Linked DNA regions of Schizosaccharomyces pombe. The main gene of each other region encodes a partner of the protein of the gene in region 2 in a complex. Each region holds a gene or a part of one and is shown on either strand. Other genes may lie near its edges.

Evidence for each region. Proteins that work in one complex are often made in the same cells at the same time.
Region 1: rpl1801 (region 2) and rpp101 share a complex: the UniProt entries of both Schizosaccharomyces pombe proteins name them as parts of the large ribosomal subunit.

What each region holds. Positions count from the first base shown.
Region 1 is NC_003424.3:2,698,432-2,701,713, reverse strand, and holds rpp101 (ribosomal protein P1), read right to left. Parts: upstream 1,283-3,282; 5' UTR 1,262-1,282; coding exon 1,193-1,261; intron 1,057-1,192; coding exon 796-1,056; 3' UTR 501-795; downstream 1-500. Other genes in the region: rna15 (RNA-binding protein), read right to left, coding at 1-20, 61-85; rad51 (RecA family recombinase Rad51/Rhp51), read left to right, coding at 1,610-2,707. UniProt on the Schizosaccharomyces pombe protein: Component of the ribosome, a large ribonucleoprotein complex responsible for the synthesis of proteins in the cell.
Region 2 is NC_003423.3:3,359,872-3,363,285, forward strand, and holds rpl1801 (60S ribosomal protein L18), read left to right. Parts: upstream 1-1,926; 5' UTR 1,927-1,945; coding exon 1,946-1,948; exon of another isoform or gene 1,949-2,000; coding exon 2,001-2,561; 3' UTR 2,562-2,761; downstream 2,762-3,414. Other genes in the region: SPOM_SPBC11C11.06C (uncharacterized protein), read right to left, coding at 1-25; pre-mRNA-splicing factor srp1, read left to right, coding at 3,013-3,098, 3,145-3,201, 3,251-3,414. UniProt on the Schizosaccharomyces pombe protein: Component of the ribosome, a large ribonucleoprotein complex responsible for the synthesis of proteins in the cell.

The sequences.
Region 1 (3,282 bases), on a different chromosome or scaffold from region 2:
TTCATAAGGAATATTGCCCACTACTTATTAGAATTACTTTTAAACAAAAATTTAACTTACCATAAACCACACATGATGGATTCATGTTGTATGTGGTAGAGGATAGCTGAAGCCCTCGCGTCTTCCTTGGGACGGTGTTAGTAAAAATGGGCAAATGATGTGTCGAATATTTTTCGGAATCAATCCCAAAAGTAATATCAACTTTAAAGAGATAGCTAAATAATTTTATACTTCAGCCAGAATTAATAAAAGCATCGCATACACAGTGCCTAATAACTAAGAACTCATTCATTCAGCAAGAAATTTGTGAACAATAAATGATAATATCTCCTTTCATACTTACATTTTGCAAACGCTAACTTGTAAAAACCTGCTTAATGTATAAAGATCAGCCAAAAACCTTACACTTCATTTTCCAACTACGGTCCTAATTACAAAGGGCCACAAACTCCTACACTCCGAGGCCGAGATGTATTAAAATTTCAAAATAGCGCTATAATGCTTATTATTAAATATTAGTACTAAAACACTCCTACCGATTAACTTGAAAAATTTAATATCAAAATATGCAGTTCGTACTGTGAATCAATTTACACCTGATAATATTACTTCACATATGTCTGAAAATCACCAACATTGGCCATACAAATAGTTGGCGCAGATCAAAGGCGGTTTCATAAAGATTACTCGGTCTAAATTTTTAATTTCAAAACACAAGAAGATATTAAGTGAGATATAGAAAAATGGTTATTTTTTGAGTTGGATCAACTAGTTCATGCTAGCAGATTAGGGAAATTAGTCAAACAAACCGAATCCCATATCTTCATCAGATTCCTCCTCTTCCTTGGCTTCCTCCTTCTCTTCAGCAGGAGCTTCGCCATCAGCGGCAGCGGGAGCAGCAGCACCGCCAGCAACAGGAGCAGCACCAGCACCAGAGCCAATGTTTAATAAAAGTTCCTTAAGGTCCTTGCCCTCAAGAGCCTTAGCGAAAATGGTAGCCCAAATGGGTTCAACATCGACGTTGGCAGCCTTGGTTAAAGACAAGAGCTTGTCAGACTACGCAACAATTAGTATAAATTAATTTAACAAAAACCGAATAAGAAGGAATAAGACGACTACACGCTATGGAAAAGATCTTTTACCAGTATCGGTAGAAGTACATTCACAACTTTTCTAGTAAAATATAACGTACGGTGATTTCAATACCCTCGTCAGCCAAAATGAGAGCTGAATAACTGGTAGCAAGTTCAGATGCAGACATTTTGACCAGTGCTGTTCTCTTGTTGTAAATGCAAGTGTTAAAAAACTGTGTTTTGTTTCGTTCCCTATCTCGTGACTATTTTTACAGCCCTACCCTAATGTGTGTGTCTATTTAGTAGGTGTTACCTTGCTAGTACTAGGTAACAATTGATTGAAAACGCGTCGGACGCGTTTTAATTCCTTCACAATCCCTACTAAGCAAGAAAATTCTTGCCATAAACCAATTCTTTCTCTAACAAAACTATTTCCTTGATTTATTTTTTAAAAACCTAATCTTTCTTTTCTTTAATAATATAAAAAACTCTTTTCAATTCCAGAATAGTGATAATTTCGTGCTTAACAAGTTATAATGGCAGATACAGAGGTGGAAATGCAAGTTAGTGCAGCAGATATGAATAATAATGAAAATGGACAAGCACAATCAAATTATGAATACGACGTGAATGTACAAGATGAAGAAGATGAGGCCGCCGCCGGTCCTATGCCCTTACAAATGTTGGAAGGCAATGGGATTACTGCTAGCGACATAAAAAAAATTCATGAAGCCGGATACTACACGGTGGAATCAATTGCTTATACTCCTAAGCGACAACTACTTTTGATTAAAGGAATTTCTGAAGCAAAGGCTGATAAGTTACTTGGCGAGGCAAGCAAACTAGTTCCTATGGGATTTACCACCGCCACTGAGTACCATATTCGAAGAAGTGAATTAATTACGATTACAACTGGATCAAAACAACTAGACACTTTGTTACAAGGAGGCGTTGAGACTGGAAGCATTACAGAATTATTTGGTGAATTCCGTACCGGTAAAAGTCAAATCTGCCATACACTTGCGGTAACCTGTCAGCTTCCTATCGATATGGGTGGTGGTGAAGGTAAATGCTTATATATCGATACAGAAGGAACTTTCCGTCCTGTTCGTTTGTTGGCTGTTGCAGATCGATATGGCTTAAATGGTGAGGAAGTTTTGGATAACGTTGCATATGCTCGTGCTTACAATGCAGACCATCAACTAGAGTTGCTCCAACAAGCGGCAAACATGATGTCTGAATCCCGATTTTCATTGTTAGTTGTCGATAGTTGTACTGCCTTGTATAGAACAGATTTCTCTGGTCGTGGAGAGCTCTCTGCTCGTCAAATGCATTTAGCAAGGTTTATGCGGACGCTACAGCGCTTGGCAGATGAATTCGGTATTGCTGTTGTCATTACTAATCAGGTGGTCGCCCAAGTGGATGGCATTTCCTTTAATCCTGATCCCAAAAAACCAATTGGTGGTAATATTCTTGCCCATTCGAGTACCACTCGACTTTCTTTGCGGAAAGGTCGTGGTGAGCAACGCATTTGTAAAATTTACGATAGTCCGTGTTTGCCTGAGAGCGAAGCCATATTTGCCATTAATTCTGATGGTGTTGGTGATCCCAAGGAAATTATCGCACCTGTCTAAATTATTTTAGTATCGTTTCATTTTTATTTATTATTTTGCAAATTCTATGGGATGAGTTTGTAAGGATAGATATGTATGTGATGCTTTTTTGATAATTTCCTTACGATTTACTCTGTATCTCATATTTTTCTTTCAAGTATGCTCTTAAAAAAGAGCAAAAACCATTTGATCACACTTATTAACTCTCTGCTAAATCTTCATTACGTTTATTCGCATTAAACTATCAGGTTTTTGTAATTGCCATTAATTATGTTTGGGTGATTGGGTTACATTGGTGAACAAAATGTTTCACTTAAATTAATATTCGCTAAAAGTTTTTCATAGAAGTTTTCGTTCTTTTTTACATTTAAAGACCTATATGATTATATTTATCTCTACTACCCAAAAATGCTTGTCTTGTTACAAATTCAAATAAAAAATTAAATATAAAAAGTTTGCTATGGTATTAAAGTAAGAAGAATTTCTTTCTTTTTCTTTCTTTTTTATACTAAAGAAGCCTAAGGATCCACTTGCATTAAAACGCACGCAAAATGCTAAATTCTTGAAATTTTTACTATTATTTTGAATATTTGCAT
Region 2 (3,414 bases):
GGGAGCTTCCTTCTTTTGCAGACATCTTAAAAAATTTTTCAGTGAATATGAGGAGAGATAAAAGTCAAATTTTCTTCAAAGTTGTAAACACTAACGAATTTGATTTAAATTGGTATGTTGTGGTGGGTATATATGTATTAATAGAATTTACATACTTTGCGTATACAGTATGACGTCCTCAGTTGACATCATAATAGTTTAAGCACTGTACTGAAGATACTCATCATCTATAGTAGATTCCAGCAAGTTAGCGTAGAAATCCGTTTACTAAGTGGCATTACGATTCTTTATCGCTGTTTAAGGTGATACAATATTTTATTATGGTGAACAGAAAATGAATTACTTTTTCCTTTTTAAATATAGTGTTATGAATGATTTAATATTTAATGACCAAAAAATGATAGCCTATTACTACTTGCATGTTAAAGTGTTTCAAAAAGGACAGCTTTAACCATATTCGCTAAAGAAAACTAAAGAGGTTTATTATAAGCACAAACTATAGTGAACAGAAAGTATTTACGGCATTTGTGATAATATTTGCTAAATGGCCGCGTGTTTACTACCCGCAGTCAGGAATGGCAGAAAACATAAAAAGTTGAAAACTTGCTTTTATACTGAATTAAATAAAAAAACAAACTAAAAAGTTCGGGTTTCGACGGGGATTGAACCCGTGACCACTTCGACCCAAACGAAGTATGCTACCACTACACCACGAAACCACGTTACAACTCATAATACAAATAGATAATATTAATGGTTTTCTCCTTCCAAAGTAATTAAGTAAATATCATTGATTTTAAAAAAGAGCTAAATACCTAAAGAAATTAGCAATCAGAGTATGGAGAATTATCTACTTGCAACTACTAAGCTGACTGAATCTATGCCAAAAGAAGAACATGAAATTGCTTCAAATCAAATTGATAGAGGACATAACAATTACTTAATTTCGTAGAGTTAAAATAGTTAATGTGAGCTAAACATGCAAGTAACTTAAATAATCAAATATTATCATTGATTAATAATTACGTTCAATTTAGAAAGTGTTTGTGCATCGAAGCAAATATATTTGTTTTAGCAACATTCTGATCCCTTTAAATAGAAAATGTTATCTAAACGATCAAAAAAATATCCTAATCTCGTAATTGATAGAAATCTCTGCAAAGATTTCCTATTAAATCGAGATATGTTCCTTATTGCCTAAAATAAATTAAAATCAATCCTGTAGATGACTCGTGGTCTTAAAATGATACTTTTAGAAAAAAAAAAATAGGTAAATAAGTAACCTAACCAATTTTACGAGTTATCAGATACATAGATTTGAATAATCAATTATAAAAATATATTGATTAATTTACTTATGTGCTTAATATTTGAAATATGCTAGTATTTGCAACGTCTTCGTGTTCGCACTTTATATTTATTTTTGTTATCTTTTAAGCGCCCAATAGTAAAAGAAATTGTATTCCGATCAATTTTTGCAATTTTCGTGCAGCTTAAAAAAAAAATACTTCTTTGTCTACTCAAAAAGCATGAAAAGGTTTACAATAAATGAATACTGAAGGGTTCCATAAAGTATAATATTTTCAATGAAATATGGTTATATAATTCAATTATTATTTGCAGTAAAATTCAAATGCATCTTTTTCATATATCTAGTTTTATAAAACAATTAATTTTTAGAGAGTTAATGAACGTGTTCGATAAATGCAAAAGTAACACCTACCCTATTCCAAAATCTCACTATTATAAATAAATAATCTAGCAAATACTTATTTATATTGAATCATTTATACACCTCCGTTTATGGGTTTGCTACACAAATAAGGCGTACCTAGTGACTCTCGATAAACCTCCCTAAAACCTACCCTAGCTCAAAAAGGCAGTCACAAATTTACTACCAATTTTAGCAGTGATTATTGAAACGAACAAGCAGCGTTATATCAAAATGGTATGTATAATATGAATACCTGTTTGTTCTATTAAGCTAATGAGTGATTTAGGGAATTGATATCGAGAGACATCACGTTAAAAAGTCTCAACGCAGCAAGCCTGCTTCGGAGAACGTCTACTTAAAGCTTTTGGTTAAGCTTTACCGTTTTTTGGCCCGTCGTACAGATTCCCGCTTCAACAAGGCTATTTTGAAGCGTCTTTTTCAATCCAAGACTAACCGTCCTCCTATTTCTATCTCAAAGATCGCTGCTTTAACTAGCCGTAAGAGTGCTTCTTCTCAGAACAAAACCACCGTCGTTGTCGGAACCGTTACCGACGATGAGCGTATGTTGACTGTTCCTAAGCTTTCTATTGCCGCTCTTCGTTTTACTAAATCTGCTCGCGCTCGTATTTTGAAAGCTGGTGGTGAAGTTTTAACCCTCGATCAGCTTGCTCTACGTGCTCCCACTGGAAGCAACACTGTTCTTGTTCGTGGTAAGAAGCATGCTCGTGAGGCTTACCGTCACTTTGGCTTTGGTCCCCACAAGCATAAGGCTCCTTATGTTCGTTCTGAGGGCCGTAAGTTCGAGAGAGCTCGTGGTCGCAGAAAGTCTCGTGCATTCAAGGTTTAAATTACCTTGTTCAAGCTCGTTTCCTTTTCTCACACTTTATGGGATCAGCTCTTAGTTGCTTCTCATTTGGTTAGCGTTCATAAATTAGGTTACCGGTGCATTATTGATCCGGCTTTAGTGTACATCAATAGTGTTCGTTCCCAGATATGAATACAATGAAAATCTAATAGCTTAGTTGGTTAACATTATTCTCTTTCTAATTTTTTAATCGTAAACGTATATGTACTTGTAAGACGATGCTTTTATTGATTTAATATTGGTGTTAGCAGTTACTTTTTGTATTTCGCGCTGCAGGTCATTATTAATTTTTTTGTCGTCGGATTTCAATTTAGTGAGCACGAGTGATTTTTACTAAATTCGTTAGCCACACCGTGCTATTCGCTATTGGATTTCCATTCCTCCTTCCACTTACACCGAATTTTGGAGCAAAAAACGTCTTCTTAAGAAAAAAATGAGTCGCAGAAGCCTTCGTACCCTTTATGTGACAGGATTTCGAGATGGAATGCGTGCTCGTGAGCTTGCTTATGAATTTGAGCCGTAAGTTGTTTTTCATGCACTTTAAATAGCTAATTTATTCATTTAGTTTTGGGCCTTTAATACGTTGCGACATCCCAATCCCTAGAACTCGAACTTCAAGACCGTAAGTAAATGGCTTTCTAAGTAAAGATTTTAACCGTCTTATTGGATAGTTTTGCATTCGTTGAGTACGAAGATTCCCGTGATGCTGAAGATGCGTATTATGAAGTGCACGGACGTCGTCTCGAAAGAGGTGGCGGTGTTCTTCGTGTAGAATGGGCCAAGCAACCACCTCCGTCAGGCCCTGGCTCCAAACGTGGTGGAAGACGCGAACGAG